Arabidopsis thaliana: one gene and its partners. The protein of the gene in region 3 purifies or fractionates together with the protein of the main gene of each other region. This does not show direct contact. Each region holds a gene or a part of one and is shown on either strand. Other genes may lie near its edges.

Evidence for each region. The genes of interacting proteins can lie anywhere in the genome.
Region 1: the proteins of AT3G50590 (region 3) and AT5G24710 fractionate together in Arabidopsis thaliana (co-fractionation; one large-scale study listed by BioGRID). This does not show direct contact.
Region 2: the proteins of AT3G50590 (region 3) and AT2G07360 fractionate together in Arabidopsis thaliana (co-fractionation; one large-scale study listed by BioGRID). This does not show direct contact.

What each region holds. Positions count from the first base shown.
Region 1 is NC_003076.8:8,463,927-8,471,420, reverse strand, and holds the start of AT5G24710 (Transducin/WD40 repeat-like superfamily protein), read left to right. Parts: upstream 1-3,247; 5' UTR 3,248-3,500; coding exon 3,501-3,632; intron 3,633-3,717; coding exon 3,718-3,802; intron 3,803-3,883; coding exon 3,884-3,923; intron 3,924-4,013; coding exon 4,014-4,262; intron 4,263-4,577; coding exon 4,578-4,677; intron 4,678-4,789; coding exon 4,790-4,864; intron 4,865-5,442; coding exon 5,443-5,541; intron 5,542-5,938; coding exon 5,939-6,055; intron 6,056-6,136; coding exon 6,137-6,252; intron 6,253-6,339; coding exon 6,340-6,439; intron 6,440-7,095; coding exon 7,096-7,454; intron 7,455-7,494. Other genes in the region: AT5G24740 (vacuolar protein sorting-associated protein, putative (DUF1162)), read left to right, coding at 1-111, 195-299, 455-524, 657-1,348.
Region 2 is NC_003071.7:3,052,950-3,060,143, reverse strand, and holds the start of AT2G07360 (SH3 domain-containing protein), read left to right. Parts: upstream 1-2,947; 5' UTR 2,948-3,044; coding exon 3,045-3,050; intron 3,051-3,133; coding exon 3,134-3,424; intron 3,425-3,652; coding exon 3,653-3,712; intron 3,713-3,807; coding exon 3,808-3,900; intron 3,901-4,138; coding exon 4,139-4,358; intron 4,359-4,693; coding exon 4,694-4,800; intron 4,801-5,038; coding exon 5,039-5,101; intron 5,102-5,574; coding exon 5,575-5,675; intron 5,676-5,837; coding exon 5,838-5,932; intron 5,933-6,049; coding exon 6,050-6,070; intron 6,071-6,208; coding exon 6,209-6,304; intron 6,305-6,429; coding exon 6,430-6,556; intron 6,557-6,630; coding exon 6,631-6,768; intron 6,769-6,915; coding exon 6,916-7,106; intron 7,107-7,194.
Region 3 is NC_003074.8:18,767,873-18,775,055, forward strand, and holds the start of AT3G50590 (Transducin/WD40 repeat-like superfamily protein), read left to right. Parts: upstream 1-3,146; 5' UTR 3,147-3,245; intron 3,246-3,414; 5' UTR 3,415-3,419; coding exon 3,420-3,555; intron 3,556-3,636; coding exon 3,637-3,746; intron 3,747-3,852; coding exon 3,853-4,018; intron 4,019-4,104; coding exon 4,105-4,205; intron 4,206-4,301; coding exon 4,302-4,374; intron 4,375-4,478; coding exon 4,479-4,614; intron 4,615-4,721; coding exon 4,722-4,882; intron 4,883-5,007; coding exon 5,008-5,132; intron 5,133-5,213; coding exon 5,214-5,313; intron 5,314-5,483; coding exon 5,484-5,574; intron 5,575-5,707; coding exon 5,708-5,759; intron 5,760-5,849; coding exon 5,850-5,951; intron 5,952-6,024; coding exon 6,025-6,171; intron 6,172-6,243; coding exon 6,244-6,406; intron 6,407-6,724; coding exon 6,725-6,955; intron 6,956-7,065; coding exon 7,066-7,183. Other genes in the region: AT3G50580 (uncharacterized protein), read right to left, coding at 895-1,647.

The sequences.
Region 1 (7,494 bases), on a different chromosome or scaffold from region 3:
AGCCCAGCAGGAATTATTCAAGGAATGGCTCACGGAACCACAAGTCTCTTCAGTAGCACTATTTATGCTTTAAGTGATGCTGCCACTCAATTTAGTAAAGCTGCACACAAGGTACGATGCATCTGTTTGCTTAAAAATCTATGGTGTAGACGCCTCCTTCAAGAAATATTTACAGAATTACCAATTCGTTGCAGGGTATTGTTGCATTTACATTCAATGACCATGATGTTGCAAGGATGGAGAAGCAGCAATTGGGTGAAGGATCGCGTAGCAAAGGAGTTATAGGTGAAGTGTTTGAGGTATGTTATTTGCACTTTCTTTGGAAGTATGTCTTATATACTGATTTGATGTTCACTTAGTCTTGAAAGTTACTTGAAGTCAGTGACTTCTGTCAAATTCTTCTGAACTTGCATAAAGAATTTAAGCATGCCAGCTGACACGATGTTCATCACAGGGACTCACTGGTCTCCTTCAATCACCAATAAGAGGAGCTGAGAAACATGGTCTTCCAGGCGTTATCTCAGGTATTTAAGCGAGAACCACCGCTCAAGTCATCTATAGACATTCAAGACATTTGATGTTCGTGTACACGCTGTCCTTTTGTTTCTGGCTTTCTAATTTTATGCATGTTAACTGGGTGCCTATATATGGTTCAGGAGTGGCCATGGGGATTACTGGACTTGTGGCCAGACCAACCGCTAGTATCCTTGAGGTAACTGGAAAAACCGCACAGAGTATAAGAAACCGAAGCAGGATTCATAACATAAGATCCCAAAGGCATAGGCTTCGTCTTCCGAGGCCTCTGAGTAGAGAACAACCTCTCAGGCCTTACTCATGGGAAGAAGCGGTCGGGACAGCAGTACTTATGGAGGTTGGAGATTCCCTGAAGTTCAAGGGCGAGAAGCTGGTGAAGTGCAAAGCCCTGAAACAAGAAGGAGCTTTCGTTGTAATCACAGGGAGACTGGTATTGGTTCTAAGCAGCCTGAGCTTGGTAGATTTCAGAAAACAGGGATTTCTCGGAGTTCCAATAGATTTGGTATGGAATATCGAAAGAGAAATCGGTTTGGAGAGTGTAATACATACAGATTGCAGCGGTGGAGTAGTCCGCATCATAGGAAGCAATTCAGATGGTGTATGGAACTGGAGACAGGACCAGCAAAAGAAGAGCAGCCCGACCAAAAAACGATGGAACAATCCTTCAGCACAGCCGCTTCTTCAGACTAACTTAGAGTTTCCATCGGAGGAAGAAGCAGAGGACTTGTTGAGTGTGTTGTTATCGACTATTGAAACTGGGAAAAGCCGGAGCTGGCACAGTCGATTTGTTTTAAGTCGAAGTAACATCACTTAAACCGGAGACTTGCGTACATAAGAATACAGTAATTCTTTAATTTTCTTTGTGTACAAAAGTGGCTTTATGAAACTAGTTTTAGAATATATGGTCTGACATGTTTTGGCTATAAAATTTTTTTTAAAAAAAAAGCGTAATAAATCGAAGTGTATTGTACATGGATTGTCAGGCATCATCATGATGCTCATATATGTGGCATCATCATGGTGATGCTGTTTTTCATGCGGGAGAAATGTTTTTACCAACATCAAATCGTATTGCTGCGGAGTTGAGAGGGATATTATGGGTACTACACAGTCTATGTGATCTACACTTCTATAATATTGAGATTTGGTCCGACTATGGTGCTCCTATGGAAGCCATTAGTGACCCATTAGATTGGCCACGTATTTATCTTATCTTGATAGGATTCATTGGTTTCTCCCGAATTTTGATAAGATCGTATTTAAGGTTTCATCGCACGAGATATAGCCACAAGCGTAATGAGAGAAGGTCGATGCAGATCATATTTAGCTCGTGGAAGTCCGATGTGGTTACACTCGCATTGAAGAAGACAAGCGGCGTTGATTTTATTGTTCTTTATTAAGTTAAGATCTTCTATAAGTGTATGAGGAAAACAAGTTTAGACGGGAAAAACAAAAAATCGAAGTGTATTGAGTAAACTTCAATGAAACCTGTAAAGAAAAAATTAAATTAAATTGAAGATTAAATAAGACTTTAATTTTGATTGCAAATCTTTTTATCGAATTCTAGATTTAGTTGTAAACATAGTAAACCCTTATTACACCAAATACTATAGTCATTTTGTTTGAGATAATTCATTTGGAATTCTCTTTAAAAGTTTAGTGATCGGAGGCTTCTCGATTTTCTCTCTCTTCTCTCACTTGAATTTTTCAGAGAAAGAAAAAGCGATTCATGGCAAGACTCCGTCCAACATCGTTCGGCTTCTTTAACGACGATGGTTGGTTCGTTTCCAGCATCAATTGGCTTCTTTAGTGGTGGTGGCTGGCTTTTGTATCCGGACGTGGTCCGGCTTTGCCGTCTTATCTCGCCGTCTGGTTTCTACTTTTCTCTTTAGTGGAATCCGGCTTTAGTTTCCAGTTCTTTGATACCGGTTTTACCTTTCTGCTTTTCAATAATCATTGTGATCTTAGTACCAATTTTTTTTTGGGTTTTCCTTATCATCCTCTTTTCTCAAGCTTTTTTGCATCCTTATTTAGATGAAAGTCAATCTTTGTTTCATTTCTAATCTTTACCTTTTGGGTTTTAATCAACTATTAGAGTTTGTTTCAACCTAAATCGATTCTCTCAATCCTTTGATTTAGAATCTCAATTCGGCATATCTGGTAAGATTTAATCATCAAGAGAAATCATGGTTTTTTATTTCTCTTTTGTCATAGATCGTTGCTGTTCTGGAGAAATTTAGATCAAATATAAACTCTGGATATTGTGGAGCAGAGAGTCAGATTTACAAGCGTGATGAGATTGTCGTAGAGGAAATGGTGGGTTATCGGATTTGATGGTGGTGCTGGGAGATAACGATGAAACAATCATCGGCGTAAGAGAAAAGTCACATCCACGTGTCGTATGTTGCTTTGACTTGTTTTATTAGCGCTGTACTCTTTACTACAAGGTGTTTAGTTGTACCCTTTATGGATTTGTGAAATACTTTGATGACTGGGCTTTAGTGATGTTTGTAAACCCATAATTTGAATAAAAAAGAAACTTATGAACAAGAAAAAAAAAAGTTCAGTGATCCAACGGATCCACAATTAATTTCCGTAAATGGAATATATTTTGCGACAAAGGAAAGGGCTAAAACAATTGTTATTGGGCCTTTTTTTTTGGGTTAATCAGACTAGCCTTCGCAAATTCGCGCTTTACGCGTTTCGCGTCTGAAGACACTACCGGAGTTTTTGTTCGGCGATTGTAGTTAGTGGTGGTGGATCCGGGCATTTCATTTGATAACCGCGGTGGATCTAATTGATCTGGATCTGACCATAGCCCTGCTTGCTTTTTCTGGAAATTTTTAGTGTGTAGCTCTGGAGAGTTTCTCGTGAGTCGAATCGTCTATGCGGATGCAGTTGTGCTCAGATTTTTGAGTTGTCTAATTGATCTTGAAGAACTGTGAGAGAGAGAGAGAGAGATCGAAATGTTGCGGGCGAGAGCATTTCGGCAGACCAATGGTAAGATTGTGAAGATACAGGTACATCCTACGCATCCATGGCTTGTTACGGCTGATGATTCAGATCACGTCTCCGTCTGGAATTGGGAGCATCGTCAGGTCTGTATCGAGATTCTGATTTGATTTTGGTTCCGGTTCTGATTTCGAATCGTGGATCTGTCAACGTTTATGTCTATTGTGTTAGGTAATTTATGAATTGAAAGCCGGCGGAGTTGACGAGCGCCGTTTAGTTGGTGCCAAGTTAGAGAAGCTCGCCGAAGGAGAATCCGGTGAGCCATTGTTCTATTCTGGTGAAATGAGTATGAGTTTCTGATGCTTTATGTTCTTACTGACATTCGTATTTTCCTCAGACTATAAAGCTAAGCCTACTGAAGCCATTCGAGGAGGAAGGTAGTAGATAGATCTTTCTCGCTGCTAATTCAGTTGCTCCTTTCGATAATGAGAAAAATGACTTATCTGCTCAATGTTTGCACCTACTAGCGTTAAGCAGGTGAAGTTTTATGACGATGATGTGCGTTATTGGCAACTGTGGCGCAACCGCTCCGCAGCTGCTGAATCTCCATCAGCTGTCAATCATCTGACATCTGCTTTCACTTCCCCTGCTCCATCGACTAAAGGCCGTCATTTTCTGGTCATTTGTTGTGAGAATAAAGCTATTTTCTTGGATTTGGTGACAATGCGTGGTCGTGATGTGCCAAAGCAAGAGCTTGATAACAAGTCACTTCTCTGGTAAGTTCATTGCTTTTTCTCTAATTTTAGGATATGGGTTTGCTTGACACCTGGACCCCGGGGAAGATGCTCCATTACTTTAGGCTTCCTATCTTTAAATCACTTGAATCCTGGAAAGACCTCCGTTAGTTACTACGCTGGAAATATTTGAGTCAAATGTAGACTAGGCATAAGTGTAATGGATATGTGTGTTCTAAGTGTAATGGATACCAGGCTTCCTTGATGTTTAATGTTCAGTCAATGGCCAAACTCCCTTTCTACATTTTTAATTTCTACTCCTCCTTAATGTTGCTAGAATTCTTCCTTTCTTTGCAGCATGGAGTTTCTTTCGAGATCATCTGGTGGTGATGGCCCTTTAGTTGCATTTGGTTCAACTGATGGTGTCATTCGGGTTTTATCAATGATAACATGGAAGGTTTGTTTGTTTCAAAATTATATTTTTTTTTTTTGGTTTCTCTGCTGGGTTTAGAGTGAGGGATTTTGATACTGATCTGTGTTAATTTCCTTGAATGTTTACTTCCTTGCAGCTTGCACGTCGATATACAGGTGGCCATAAAGGATCCATTTATTGCTTGATGAATTTCATGGCATCATCTGGCGAAGTAACTACATATTCCCTATATATGCCCTCTTTATTGCTCTGAATTTATTTCGAGTTATTTACTTAATATGTTAATAGTTAATACCATCTGATAGATGAAAGTGTCATGTAACTTAGAAAAACATACTCAAGATCACCTACTAAGATCGACTGTATATATTATATGAAAACGAGGTCTTGAGCATATCGTCTTGGAAGTTTCCTACATATATCTCTTTCTTCTTAGCGACGTAAAAATCTCACATTCTACTAAGTGGGAGTCCAGACCGCAGCAGGCCTTACTATACGGATACCTGTTTTACAATCCAAATATCTAGCCTTAGTTTCTTAGATCATCTGTACTCGGGTTAAATTTCATGCATAGCCTAGGCATTAGGAGCGGCGGGAATTTTAAACATTGGCATCTCTTTTCCCAATTGCTTGTTTAGGTTATGTTAATAGCGAATTTCTGATAGTACTGGGCTTTCTTCCCTTTTATATAACTTGACGTTTTTTAATGAATGCTTATCAAGTATTTTCTCTCTGTTATTTATGTGCAATACATGATACTAGCCATCCTCTATCTAAATGCAATTGCAGGCACTCCTTGTTTCAGGTGGCAGTGATGGCTTACTTGTACTGTGGAGTGCCGATCATGGCGCTGACTCAAGGGAACTTGTACCCAAGCTTAGCTTAAAGGTACTCAATTATGCCCACTCTTTCATTCAAAGTTCAAGAGAGGATATTACCATGACCGTTCAATTCTTAGGCCTGGAAAGATTTGCCAGATTTGGTTACAGCTGAGGCTAAGGCACCATTGTTCTTAGTTCCAGTGAACCTTCTGAATTGATTTCTGTGTCTGTTTCTGAATGTTGGATACTTGCATTTAGATATTCTTTCATTCTTTTTATAAAAGGCTGAGTAATGATTAGGGGACTATGACATGCTCGTGCTTTTTTTTTTTTTTTGGTGTAATAGACATGGTCATGTTTGCTTAATTGAGTGGATAATTTCCACTTCTCTGTTATACTTTTTTTTTTTTTTTTTCCTAATCCCTTCTTGGCTTCTTCTAATGTTTTTGTTCTGATTGTATTAGGCACATGATGGTGGGGTGGTGGCTGTTGAGCTGTCAAGGGTAAGTGGGAGTGCTCCACAATTGATTACAATTGGGGCTGACAAGACATTGGCCATATGGGATACAATGACATTTAAGGTAATGGTGTATCTCATGTATGGATTTTTCATATTTTCCCGATCTCATTTATTAACATGCATATCTACTTTTATTCTACAGGAGCTACGTAGAATTAAACCTGTCCCGAAACTAGCTTGCCACAGTGTTGCATCTTGGTGTCACCCTCGAGCGCCAAACCTTGATATTTTGACTTGCGTTAAAGATTCACACATATGGTATCTTTGTTTAAGATTTGGTATTGTATATGGTAGAATATATTTATGTATATTAGATGAGTGGTCTAATTGTTTGAATTTTTGCAGGTCTATTGAGCATCCAACTTATTCGGCCCTGACAAGGCCGTTATGTGAACTTTCTTCCTTGGTTCCGCCTCAAGTACTTGCAACCCACAGAAAACTTAGGGTAATTAGCTCATTGTTGATGAAATCCTCGAAATCTACCACGTATCATATCATTTCTTTCTGCCTGCTAGTTGTATACTATATCAATAGCTCATGCTCAAGCCTGAGCATGAGCATTGCTCTCTGAGGCTCCATTCTATGTGTCCCACAAAACATTAGTTTCTCTTCTTATCTCGTAAAATGCATCTATTATGGTTCAAATGATGAAGTTGTGTAGCTGTATAATATTGCACTTGGCAATGCAAAGGTATTCTGACTCAAGTAGACTAGGAATAAGAATAAGAATAGAATACAACTGTTTGTATTACTTCTTGCAGAAAAGTTTTGTATATAGCAGACTTTAAATTGATAGCTGTTTGAACACTAAATTTATCTAAAAGAAAATTGCAATGGAGAAGATACGTAATCTTTATGTCAGATGGTGATAGGGAAAGCACATGCTGCACCCGAAAGTTGAAAGTTATTCCTTTTTCAGAATTTGCAGATAATATTCGGGGTTCATTTTCTACTTGAAACCGCCAGTTGATGATTTTCAAAGATTGCTAGTTTCTTTATTGCATAATTATAATAGCATTGCTTCTGTACTTCTTTCGCTTTCATGGCTTCCATACATTGGTAGTAACCCTCATCAGGTACTTATTAATTTCCATTTTTTAGGTCTATTGTATGGTTGCACATCCTCTACAACCACATCTCGTCGCAACTGGTACCAATGTTGGTATTATAGTTAGTGAATTTGATCCTCGTGCTATCCCGTCTGCAGCTCCTCTACCAGCACTGCCTGGAAGTCGGGAGAATTCAGCTATATATATCCTTGGAAGAGAATTAAAGCTCTTGAACTTTCAACTATCCAACACAGCCAACCCATCCCTTGGCAATAATAGTGCCTTGTCCGAATCAGGGCTTTCTAAGGGAGACCCAGGTGAACAGTTAACTGTAAAGCAAACCAAAAAGCAGATCGTGGCACCAGTTCCACATGATTCATACTCAGTTCTTTCTGTGAGCAGTTCAGGGAAGTAAGTTCCTTAGCTAATTGTTTTTTATGAATATAATTTT
Region 2 (7,194 bases), on a different chromosome or scaffold from region 3:
AGTGCTTCTTGTACATATAAAGGATAAGCAATGCTTTTAATGATTGAGTCCAAAGCTTTGATATATAAGTGGAGTTTTACAAGAGACTTCTTAAAACAAATGCTAGTGACAAATCACCTAGTGAGTGTGGAATGTGGCCGTTTCTAGGAGAATGAGAGGCTATATTCTCTAAGTTCACTCATGAAATCCAGGATTGTTCAAAGCCAAAATGAACACAATCTAGAGAACTTGTTTTTACGAGAAAAAGTAGTTGGGTTTTACCTGTTGTCTAGGTTTACATAAAAATCTGGGTGGTTAAAGACATCATGTTCACCTCCTGGCCAAGTAAATTCGACAAATATTAACAGTGAATAGTTTAAGGCTGAAAAATACTACTATCTCATACACATCTATTTTTTGCATATACTCTTGAAAGTTGAGTCTGTAAAGTCTAAGTCAGTTTAGGTTATCGAGTCAGTCAAAAGTCTCAAATGTTTAGAGTCAATTTTATTCATGTGGGGGATTGTTGGAACTCAATTTTACACAAGTGGCTCCGGCTAACTCTTCGGTGATTTTTCCGGTGATGGCCATCACCGGAATGACCGGATTATGGAGTCTTTGAATTCCTTGTAATGAGCACTATAAGATAGTGTAGTTACATATAAAAATTGAAGTTATTATGAATGAGTAATTGAGGTCCAAAGTGGTGAGCTTGAAAGCTTATAATAACAAATATTGACAATTGTCCCATATTAGAAGTTTTAAGATCTCTCCTCTAGCATATATGGTGCTACCCATTTAACATGGTTCACTAGCTATTGGGAAGGGACACTATGGTGTAGGAGATGCAAGTCCTTTATGCAAAACAACACACACACACGCTCCGCCGCCGTCGTGCCGTGCCGAGCCGGGCTTGGGCCTTGGGCTCTTGGGAAATGGGGCCTTTGGCCCACAAACAATGTTCTTTTTGGGGAAAATACTTATGAGGCTTTGTTGCATTATTTGTAATATTTGCAACATAGTTTTTGGCCCAAAACGAAAGCCCATATCGTTTCCATAACTAAGGTATATTCGGAATATTAAAAGCATATCCGAATATTCCTTATTCGAATCTTAATTCCTTAAACGGTTGTGATAATGGCTCCGCTAATCATGCCCACGTCTTTGACTTGCGCATCACTCCGAATCCCACGATCTTTGATTTGCGGATTGCATTTCCTCACCTCTCTCCTATAAAAGGAACACATCTTCCTCTCATTGTACTCACTCGTTTTTTTTGCTAAAAGCTAAAACGAAACTCTCTCCCTTTCTCCCTTTCTTCTCAAAGTAAGTCAAGAGTATATCGTTTATTTCATGTTCGCAGATTCCGCTATCGAGTGCTGCGATACCGGTTTTATAGTGATTGTATTCTGCGATCCACTGCTCATAAAACCGTCACACTGCGGGAGCTAGTTTGAATTATGGAAAGAGATCAAATCTCGTCTTCACTCGTTTTCGAAAAACGTCTTTCCTAATCGTTTTATAAAGATTTTTGATTTATTGCAAATCAGGATTTCGCGGTCCTACAATCCATTCAATCATAATAGGAAGGATAAAAAGGGGAAAAATGTCAAAAAAATCGCGAACTTTCAAATTTGGGACAAAAAAGCATGAATTTTCGAAATATCAATTAAATACCAAAGTTATTGTTGACTTTAGAATTAATTAGATAACTTTTATCGATTTTGCCAATTTGGGCACGATGTTAAGTCAATTGACGGAAAAATTAACAGAGTTAAGTCTTCTGTTATAAATTCCGTTAACTTATGAAACAACGTTGTTTTGAATCTAATTTTTTATTACAAGTTCAGGAATTGAACTCGCAACCTTTAAGATAAAACAACATTCCTTTATGGGAAAAACGTCGAAAAAATCACCAACTTTCAAATTTGGGACGATTTAATCTTGAACTTCACGAAAGACAAATAAATCGTAAAGTTTTTGTTGATTTTCGAAATTAATAACAAAGTTATTGTTGACTTGCCATTTCAGTCATGTCGTTAAGTAGGTTAACAAAACGACGTCGTCTACTTCAACTTCCTTCTTCCGTTTTCTCTTCTTTCGATTTGATTTGGGCTGAGGAACATTGTTCGTCTCCTCACCAGATGGGATTCGAATCGATTCGGCCTCTATAGGATTTGAGATAATGAAATCGATTTGGGGATTTAGGGTTTAAATTTGTTTCAACAGAAGAAACGATGTTGTTTGTCTCTACAATAAACGACATTGTTTTGTCCTAACAGAGCAGATAAACGGAACATGAACGTCGTAAAAAAATTCTGTTAACCTATGTAACGACATGACTCAAATGGGAAGTCAACAAAAACTTTGTCATTTATTTAGAATGTCAACACAAACTTTACGATTTATTTGTCTTCTGTGAAGTTCAAGATTAAATCGTCCCAAATTTGAAAGTTGGGGATTTTTTTGACATTTTTTCCATTCCTTTACCGACTAAGCTGAATCATTTATTTGTTTGTTTCTCAGAAACATACATATTTATATAGGTTATAACAAAATGCCCAAATTAATAAAAGTTAGGTTTCGATCCCTTTGTCACAGTCACCAAATAGGCGAGTATCTTGCCGTCGTCAACTCATCGCATCCTACACAACACGAACTCAATTAAGTAGAAGAATATCTCTAGAACAAGAAACCTTAATTTCAGCACAATTTTCAGAACATGATCAATCTTTCCCTAACCAATTTCAAAAGTTTTTTCCAAGAGAAAACTTGATCAAAAAATGCAAAGATGATGAATTCTTTTTAATCGTTGAGGTTTACATCTTAATTTTTCGTCCCAAATTTGAAAATTTACCTTTATTTTTGACATTTTTCCAAAAAATACCAAAACAAAACTTTGGATGACAAATAAAAGATTCACGTGCATCTCACGTGCTTCGTGATAATTTAACAAAAGTGTAGAATTTTGATAATTTTGTAAAATTGTAAAGTTGCGTTTGTCTTGTTGAATCGCCCGTCACTAAAATCCTCTCCGAGAATCCTCCTCCGATCTGCCACTAGCTATGGCGGTAAGCATCGTCGGATCCTCACCGTATTTCACCGGCCAAGAATCGAATCCAAGTTTACCTTTCTTCCATTTTCCTCTTTACAGGAATCGTCTGGTACCACGCTAATGGATCTGATCTCGGCGGATCCAACCCCGGTTCCTGCACAATCTACTTCTTCGTCCGCATCTTCCACGGCGTCTCAGCCGACTTCTGCTTCCGCATCGTCTTCTTCCCATCTGCACCATCCAATGTCGACGAAGACGACTCTAGGAGAGAAGAAATCGAAGAGAGCCACTTTGATGCAGATCCAAAACGACACTATATCTGTTGCTAAAGCTGCACTGAATCCTGTTAAGGCCAATATCATGCCACAAAGGCAGAGACAGAAAAAGAAGGTTCGATCTACTAATTGAATTTTGTTTGGCACATTTATCTGTGTTTGAACTAAACCCTGGATCATTGGAGCTAAGAAAACTAGATTGTGGTTGTAGATTTGAATTGTTAATAGGAGGTATCAGTGTATATAGAGTCTCTGTTGTAAATAGAGTCTTAGTGAGTCAATATACCTATGTCTTGTTCTTCGATGTAGTTAACACGACTTTATGTTGCAAATGACTTCCCAGCCGGTTTCCTATTCGCAACTTGCAAGGAGCATTCATGAATTAGCTGCCACTTTGGATCAGGTTTAAGTTTGTGTTCTTATGCTCTGCCTTTATACCTCTCTTCTTCTGCTGAAAATAGTATCTGACTGTTTCTTCTGTTTTTCGCGAGTGAGCAGAAAAGTTCTCAGAAACAACTAGTGAATCACGTGTTCCCTAAGCTTGCTGTGTACAACTCAGTTGATCCTTCTCTGGCCCCATCTCTTCTTATGGTATGTGTCACTGGTTACTCATTTGACGACCAGATAGTGTCAGATCAAGTACAGTTTCTTGTATCGTTTTTTATAACTTTATGATGGAGCATCTAAAATGATTTGTTCTATTAGAGTTTTTTTTTTCTCTACCCATTAAATTATCATGGATCTTCACAAATTCGCATTTTCAAAAACAATATCCGTCAAAGAGAGGCATCAGGTTTTTAGCATTCTTTTTCTCTTGTGATTGATACAGCTTAATCAGCAATGTGAAGACAGGAATGTGCTACGATATGTTTATTATTACCTAGCTAGAATTTTGTCCGATACGGGCATGACTCCAGGGGGTGGTATCCCCACTCCTAACTGGGATGCTCTAGCAGATATTGATGCTGGTGGAGGAGTCACAAGAGCTGATGTTGTTCCTCGGATAGTGAATCAACTTACAAACGAAGCTACAAATTCTGAATTTGAATGTGAGTTTCACTCGCATTTTTCAGGCTTTAGTGTTTTATTTTATACATTTCTGCCTTGGACTGTCTTAATCTTATTTATCTTTATAATGGTATTAGTTGTTAATGTTTTTTAAGAAATATCCCAGTACCTTTATAATTTTCTTTTGATAGACCCAAATGCTGAGAGGAGTGACGTCAAAAGGTAGTTATGTTTAGATGTGGTGTCAGTTTTGGTATGGATTTAAATAATTTGGGGGTTATGGAAGTGAGAACCAACATCTAAGATAGATTTCCAACTTTCCATCTGTAATGTGACTGGAGATGAATTTCTAACCTTATCATATGTTTTTCTTCAGTTCATGCTCGACGACTGCAAGCTTTGAAAGCTCTGACATATTCACCATCAGGCAATTCTGAGCTTTTGTCAAAATTGTATGAGATTGTATTTGGCATTCTTGAAAAGGTTTGTCTGACTGCCAATGCTCTATGATTTTTAACAAGATGCTTTGTTTATTTTTAATAAACCCTGGCGTAGTTCATTGTCTGCACTCTGCGTGATTTAACCGTAGTCCCACCTTTTCTTATTTATATACAATTATACTATTTTATTCTTATTGCTTTTCATATGAGTGTGGTTTAATTTACGGGGGTTTTCCCAGTGACATGCAGAGGCCCTGATTTATCTTTCTTGTCGCTTTCAGGTTGGTGATGTTCCGCATAAACGAAAGAAAGGTGTATTTGGGACAAAAGGGGGTGATAAAGAGGTATCTTTCTAAACTCTTAGGTTCCTCCAGGAAAAGACTTAAGGCTTATATACTAGTCATGTTCCTGCACTTTATAATTTTCTTTTTTACAATGCTCTGCATGTTCTTTGCCTGCTGTAGGGTAGAAATTTCTCAAAATTCTTGTTGATGACTGCATGCATTAGGCAGTGTATCATAGTTGCTCTATAATGATATGAGTTTGCACATCTGGAGACTCTGGCTATTAGCTATCAGATTTTTAAGGCCCGAGTTAAATGTTATTTGAATTAATAAAACCATTTTTTTAAAACATTACAATTCTATTCGTATATCAGATTATCAATAAGCCAAAGGAACAACTTTGATAACTTAGCTTCTAGATATGTAGGCAGACGAATAGAATTCTTCCTCACTTGAGTATACAGCTTCTGGATTGCAGAAGGTCAACACTAAACTTTGTTATTAACTTGAGCGTTTTATCTCGTTTTTGTTAGTCGATTATGCGAAGTAACTTGCAATACGCTGCTATGAGTGCACTGAGAAGACTCCCTCTTGATCCAGGAAATCCACTTTTTCTGCACCGTGCAGCTCAGGGGTAAGACTTTTTTTTTGGTTCTTTCTACTATCTTTTTAAGTATAGAGTATTGGATTTAAGTATAGTGATGTAGGTTTCACAAGAGCAATTGAATTTTTGGTCTATTCCTAATTATGCAGTATATTGGACAGTTATTCTCGTATTCACACTTTTATGTTGCAGTGTTTTCTTTGCTGATCCTGTTGCGGTGAGGCATTCACTGGAAATTCTATCTGAGTTAGCCACAAGAGACCCCTATACAGTAGCAATGACATTAGGTAAATAATTTGTTCTATTCCCCCTTATATTGTTTTTTTCATTCTATTTCTGTGTGTAGAGACATAACTGTTTTTCATTCAAAACTTGATATGTGTCTCTTGATCTTTTTGCTGCAGAAAAGCTTGCGTCTCCAACAGGTATGCTCACCAGGCCTTTTATCTCTTGACGTTAATCTTTTTGCTGGTTATTTCGTGTTTATTTGTGCTAATTATAAAGAAGTGTTTGGAACACGATCTGGGTTAGCTGATATACCTTTCTTCTGTACACCAAATTAGGGGCTTTGCAAGATATCCTGCATATGAATGATGTTCTTGCTAGAGTTTCTCTGGCTAGGTTGTGCCACTCAATATCTAGAGCTCGGGCATTAGATGGTAAGTACTATCAACCTCTTTCTGCTGCCCGTTCTCGCTCTGTTTTTTTTTCTTCTTATCTGGCTATATGGGAGAGATCTTTTGAGAACTTACATGTTGCTAGTTTCCTTTCAATCTTCCTACAGAGAGGCCTGATATTAGGTCTCAGTTCAACTCAATTCTCTATCAGCTACTCCTAGATCCAAGCGAAAGGGTATGCTATGAGGCGATTTTGTGCATTCTGGGAAAACACGATAACACTGAGAGGCATGAGTTCTATGACTTTGATTTCTCTTAGTTCATTCTTTGTAAGGTATTGAATAACCAAAATGTACTGCATCATTTAGGATGGATGAGCGTGCTGCTGGGTGGTATCGCTTGACGAGAGAGATCCTGAAGCTGCCAGAAGCACCATCCTTGTCCTCCAAGGATAAATCTAATAAAACCAAGCGTCCACAGCCCCTTATTAAGCTTGTAATGAGGAGGTACTCCTAGCTTGGTGGAAGACTGTGTTTAGAATTGCAGATCTTATGGATTCCCTTTCCTCACTAGAATGTTGCTTTGGATTGTAATGATCGTTATGGTTGTGTTTCTTGTTAAAGAACTTTCGCAAATTGATCCTGTTCTTTCAGGTTAGAGAGCTCATTTCGCAGTTTCTCAAGACCAGTACTTCATGCAGCAGCAAGGGTTGTGCAAGAGATGGGAAAGAGTAGAGCAGCAGCGTTTGCTATGGGATTACAGGACATTGATGAATCCGTTCATGTAAATGCATTTTCTGATGCTCTAGATGATGCTGAGACCAATGAAAGTTCTCATCCAGAAGGTACATTGTCAGTATCCTCTTAATATGAATTACAATCTTTTTTTTTTATTTTGTTAGATGTCTGACAGATGCACAAATATATTTCTAA
Region 3 (7,183 bases):
AGGTTTTAATAAAGAAAATTTATCAACTGAAATAAAAATAACGAGTAAAAAGAAAAAGAAACATTCAAATCGTAATCCCATTAGTCTTCTTAATAGTTTCCCCGAATATCCAACAAGAAGATCCAACTCTTTTGAATGAAGATTTTTTTTTATATGTTTAAAGGTTAATTCAAATTATAATTTGTAAACCGAAATAACAGAAAGAAATTAAAGATTGCATCAAGATCGATATGAATCATATGATACAACAGTTTGCTTTCCTAACTATCTTTTCAAGTCCAAAAATCTAATTCTTTATACGAGGTCACATAAATTGAATGTTAATTAGATGGGATATAATTCTTCATCCCATTTACTGTTACATTTCATAGCTCAAAAAAATTAAAAAGGAAACAAAAGAGGTGATTTTTGCAATGTAATAAGAAAAATTTCAAATAAATTATATAGTAACTAACTAAAAAATCACGAAGAAAAAGGAAAAGAAACATTCAAATCGTTATATGTTTCTTCTTGTTAATTAGAGATCACACATTTCTGAATGTAGAATTTTCAAATATTATAAATTAAAAAACGATGTAACAAAAAGAATGATTGCATCGAAATAGACATGATATATACTTCCCTAACGATCTTTTCAAGTCCAAACACAATATCTTTTGCAAATAATGCGATTTAACTTTTGGTATTTGATATTTTCTTTATTCATTTGCGAACATAAAACAAGCAACAAAGAGAATGAAGAGATAATTATTCATTGATTAAACCTTAACAAAAGATCCGTTCATCAGATATGAACGGCAACAAATATCGCATGACTAAACGAACCAAAACGAAAAACAAATAATCAAAGAAAAAAACCCTAATTAATCAAGAACAAACAAAGAAGAAGAGAAACTAGCAGGTGACATGGCAAGTGTAACGAACAAGAGGAACAAAGAAAGGGTCGTTGAAGAATCCCCAAGCGACGTCGTCACATTCACTTTTCATGTTGACAACAAGGTTGCAACAATAGTCACTAACTTGAAACAACCTCGTGTAGAAACTGACTTCCATCTGCATCCGACACATCCCAACAGGTCCCATGTTTATCATACATCTCTCGATGTGTTCCCATGGATTCTGTTGATGATGAGGTGGATTTGATGGAGATGATGAGTGATGACTTGGTGGCGGAGGTGGAGACTTCTTGGGTGTTGGAGGTGGAAGAGACGGTGTTGAAGGAGACTTCTTGGGCGCTGGAGGTGGAAGAGACGGTGTTGGAGGCGGAGATGGAGACTTCTTGGGCGTTGGATGGGGAACAAACGGTGTTAATGAAGGCGGAGATGGAGACTTCTTTGGCGTTGGCGGTGGGGGAGACTTTTTAGGAGCTGGAGGAGGAGGAGACGGTGTTGATGGAGTTGACGGAATCGGCGTTGATGGAGAAATAGAAATGGCAGGAGCAGATCCGTTGCTATAAGTACATTTCCAGACTTTGGAATCTCCATAGCCGAAACTATGGCCAGTGTTCAAAAGCATCAGTTCGTTTCTAGTGATTTCAGACGGGTTTGGCCATCCTTCGATTTTTGGCCAGTATTTTCCGACGGTTGTGGTCGGAAAAGCCACAAGACAAAGAAAAGCTGCCGCTACAAGCACGATGGAGGTTTTCATTCTTAAAGGGAAGATTTGTGAGTGTATACAAAGAAATGGACTAACTCGTTCTTTATATATAGAAGGATTTAACTTCTTTTTTTTGGTTGGTTACAAATATATCAAAGATCTTTTTAACAACCAAAAAAATATGAAAAAATCCATATCTCGTAACTATTATTTTTTAAAATTTAAACTGTTGTAAATATTATCTCTTGGAAACTCGAAAAGAATATATTTTTTTATTTTTTTTATCTAACAACTTTCTTTCAAAACTCAAAACATATCCTTGTTTACAAATGGGATTAAAAAGTATGGACAAAAATGTATAAACACCACGGGGTCATGGGCGTAGGCAGTGTGTAATTAGGGGGTCAATTGACCCCTATGAATTTTAAAATTTCTACTATATTTTATTAAGAGTAATTATAATGACCCCAATGCATTATAGTTTTTGATCCCCATATCAAACTAATTCAACTAAAACGACAAAAAAGCCAAATAAGTTTGGTTCATTAGAATTTTAAACCAAATTGTAATGTAATAAAATTAAAAATCCTTGACTTATTTAAACTTAAGTTCAACTAATGATCTAATGTTATAATTATATATATAAAAAAAACACAATTTGTTTTTGCTTTTCTTAGTCTTTGTGGACCATAACAAAAAGTTGTAATTATTAATTTAGTTGATTTTCAGATATTTTTCTCAGGTGTAGATTATTTCTAAACAAAATAATAATAAATTTTATATAATATACTATTTTTATTAAAATTCTGATCCTTATAACAAAATTTTCTAGCTCCGCCACTGCACGGGATGTTACATCGAATTGAATTTTTGGCGTAGAGCATCTGCACAAGTATTCTGCTCACGATGTTTGAAAACAAAACTTTGGTGACTTGAAACTTCGCGTCCATCCACTTATCGTAGTTAGATAGTGTTGCAGTCGTGGTGATGATCCATTGTTGTTTTTGAGACTAATTCGGTTTTTTATATATAGAAGGATTTAACTTCTGTTTTTTGTTGGTTAAAAATATAATAAAGATCTTTTTAACAAACGAATAAATATGATAAAATTCCATATCTCGCAACTATTATCTCTTAAAACTTAAACTGTTGTAAATATTATTTCTTGGAAACTCGAAAATGAATATTCTTAACGAGAAAAAAAAAACATAACGAAAATATGTATATTGCAATTATAAGACTTAAAAAAATAAAAAATATTAAATGCAGATTAACAAAAAGAAATTATTAGATGCAGATTTGTGTAGATCTTTGAAAAGACCTATTAAAGCCCATTTAGGCCCATTAAACGACAACCTATTAAACCCATTTAGGCCCATAATAACGGCGTAGTTTCAGAATTAGACAGTGAGGCAATGGAGCATAAAGTAACACCCGAAAGATCCGACCCGGAGAAGAGAGATCCGGACAACCCGACCCAAATATTTGACATTTTTGGTTCGATGTTCTTCTTCTTCCTCTATTGATTTTTCTGATCTTCCCGTTCGATCTCACTCTGTTTCCCAAAAACCTTCGTGTACCTTCGTATTCTCTGCATTGGATTTGAAGCAAATTGATGAACTAGTAATCTCACACGGATCTAAGAGCAGGTAAAACCAAAAATGAACACTACAAAGCTATCAACGAATTTTCCATTTTTTTTTGAAATTTTATTTTCTTTCGAAGATCAGATCAGTAATCTTATTATCAGCTTCTCTCGTTCTCTTGATCGATCTGAATCGAAATTGTGACAATGATCAGCCGTATTTTGTCTTTCAGAAGTTATGGAGTGGGCAACGGTGCAGCATCTGGATCTGCGTCATGTAGGTCGCGGTGTGAGCAAGCCACTACAACCTCATACGGCGGCGTTTCATCCTTCTCAAGCCGTTATCGCTGTTGCCGTTGGCTCTCACATCATGGGTATAATACTCTCCGCAAATTCTTATCGATTGGTTTCATAGTTTGTGACTGTTTGATATTGAAACTTATTGGTTTTTGCAGAATTTGATGCATTAACGGGATGTAAGATCGCGTCTATTGATATTGGATCTCCAGCTGTTAGAATGTTGTATAGTCCTACTAGCAGCAATGCTGTTGTTGCCATTCTTGAGGTCAGTTTCCTCTAATGTTATTGTAGAGATTTTGTTTTCAATTTGGAATAGTAGTTTTAGCTTGGTGTTCAGTGTTTTAGAATGATTTGTGTTTGGAATTGTTTAGGATTGTACAATTAGGTCTTGTGATTTTGAAACGGAGCAGACTTGTGTATTGCACTCACCGGAGAAGAGGAGTGAGCACATTTCCTCAGATACTGAAGTTCATCTTGCTGTGACGCCACTTCAACCTGTTGTGTTCTTTGGATTCCCAAAACGAATGAGTGTCACAGGTTGGGTTATCAGTTCATGAGTTCTCCTATATGAGTAGGTGTGCTGGTTTATTTTACCGATTGACTGTATTTGTTCTTTTCTGTAGTTGTTGGAACTGTTGAAGGTGGAAGAGCTCCAACCAAAATTAAGACAGATTTGAAGAAACCAATTGTGAACATTGCTTGCCATCCTCGACTACCTGTCCTGGTATGATAAAACATTCACACATTTTCATGTTAGTGTGTGGAATCTGATTTTGTTGTACACACGCGTAACTTCTTGTTCAATGTTTTGTCTTTTCAGTATGTAGCATATGCAGAGGGGTTGATACGAGCTTATAACATTCATACTTATGCTGTTCATTATACACTACAGCGTGAGTTTAGGAGGATCTCACAAGTCTCATTGTTTTTATTCTTCTCACTTGGGGTATCCTGAGCAATAGCCACCAGTTAAAGCAGTTCTTTGTTATCCTCGCAGTTGATAATACTATTAAACTTATCGGCGCAAGTTCGTTTGCTTTTCACCCAACACTAGAATGGATTTTTGTTGGAGATAGGAGGGGTACACTTTTAGCGTGGGATGTTTCAACTGAAAGACCTAATATGATTGGAATGTAAGTCATTTTCGTTGCTTTTAGATTTCTGTCAGCTGGCATGAAATTGCTATCCCTTTTTTTTCTCGCAGCAATTCATTCTTGTTTGTTATATTTTGGAACTGCAGAACGCAAGTGGGTTCGCAACCCATCACTTCAATTTCTTGGCTTCCTATGTTGCGTGTACTTGTCACTGTGTCCAAGGATGGATCTCTTCAAGTGTGGAAGACACGAGTAATAATTAATCCCAATAGGCCTTCGACACAAACAAACTTCTTTGAGCCTGCTGGTAAGCCTGATATCTCTTATAGAGAAAATATATTTTCCTCCCCGACTTAGGAATAATTCCCATGGTTTGGTTTGGAGACTTTGATTACGCATTGTAGCACTATCCTTTTTTTTTTTTCTTTGCAGCTATGGAATCAATAGACATTCCTAAAATTCTCTCCCAACAGGGTGGCGAAGCTGTTTACCCTTTACCACGAATCAAAACTTTAGAAGTTCACCCAAAGCTGAACTTAGCAGCTTTGATTTTTGCAGTTAAGAATACTTCCTACTGGCACTCCTTCCTTAGGTAGAAGTGTGGCTTCTGTCTTTGACATACTGGGTTTCTTATACAGAACATGGTGGGTAATGAGAACACTCAAAATCGAGCAGCTCAGACTAGAGAAGGAAGGAAGCAGCTCTTTGCAGTTTTGCAAAGTGCTAGGGGATCTTCAGGTGAATCTTGAACACTAATGTTATTCAAACATAACAATTGATACTCTTCTTAAGCTGTATGGATGTGTCTCTTGAGAGTAACCAATCCTCTGTTAATAGTATGGGTTGTGGGTTCGACCAGAGTCGTTCGTATCAATATCCGGCTTTCTAACATGTGAGATGATTAACAGCTTCTGTTCTAAAGGAAAAGCTTTCGTCTATGGGTTCCTCTGGAATTTTAGCCGAGCATCAACTTCAAGCTCTGCTACAGGAGCACAAGGGGTAGGTGGATATTTCTCATGCAATCACTGTTGGAAAATTGCGCAAAAAAAAGTTACTAGCATGTGCTGTGAATTCCGTACCAAATGACTCAAATTTCATCTGCTTCATAGTTCACTCTGTTACTTTTCTACAGCCAGAGTCAGCTAACAATTTCAGATATCGCACGGAAGGCGTTCTTGTATAGTGTATGACTGCTTTACCTTCTTGCTTAGACATTATGTTTGTTTTATTATTTGGAACTATTTTGAGCTTAGTCGATGAATTAATCCGTACAGCATTTTATGGAGGGTCATGCCAAAACTGCTCCAATATCAAGGTTACCCCTTATTACGGTCGTGGATACAAAGGATCAACTTAAAGACATTCCTGTTTGCCAGGCATGTAACTGTTGTTTAGTGTTTCTTTTCTGTAGTATCTGATTTATGCCTGACTGATTGGATTATCTGACAGCCATTTCATTTGGAGCTGAATTTCTTCAATAAGCCAAATAGAGTTCTTCATTATCCTGTGAGGTCCTTTTATATCGAGGGCCTTAACCTCATGGCTCACAATCTCTGTTCTGGAACAGACAACATCTACAAGAAGCTGTACACATCGGTATAATCTGATATCATGTGATTTCGTTTTAGTTTTTGGTTTCCTTTTACTTACAGAACTTTTCTGTTTCAGATCCCCGGAAATGTTGAATATCATTCGAAACACATTGTTTACAGTCGTAAAAGGCACCTCTTTCTGGTTGTCTTTGAGTTCAGTGGTGCTACAAATGAAGTTGTGCTTTACTGGGAAAATACAGGTTCCCAGCTGCCTAATAGCAAAGGAAGCACTGCTAAAGGTTTGTCTAATCATTGGATTCCCTTGCTATTCTTTAGAGAACTTCCTATCCTGCCTCATAACTTTTAGTTTTGAAAACATTAAACGGTATCATACTGCATCCAGTCATTTAAATATACCAGGGGTACAATGTATGCTATAAAACAGTAGTTACTAACAATCAAGGAAGCTGAACGTTTCAACGAATGATCTGTTTACTTGATAGAGATGCAAGCTTAGAATTATTTAAGCCGTTCATCCTTTTTGTTTTCCTATGTTTCCAAAGGCGTAAACGAACAAGAGAAGAGTAACCTCAAAGCTATACTTTTTTGGTATGCAGGTTGTGATGCTGCCTTTATCGGCCCAAATGACGATCAATTTGCAATTCTTGACGAGGATAAGACAGGACTGTCTATGTATATCCTCCCAAAACTTACCACAATGGAAGAGAATGAGAAGAATTTGTTATCTGAAGAAAACCAAAAGAAAGAGGCGGATCCTTCTGGAATTCAGGGTCCACAACAATTCATGTTTGAGACAGAAGTCGATCGTGTTTTTTCCACACCGATAGGTGATGTTGCATCAGATAATCTCATTCTTGAAGTTACAGATAATCTCATTCTTGAAGTTACTTATCAATTGGAGCATGCCATCGCTAACTGATGCCTCTTTAAATTACAGAGTCCACTCTGATGTTTGCTTGTAATGGAACCCAAATTGGGCTGGCAAAGTTGTTTCAAGGCTACCGTCTCTCAGCTTCAGATGGTCATTATATTTCAACACAAGGTGAGGGACGAAA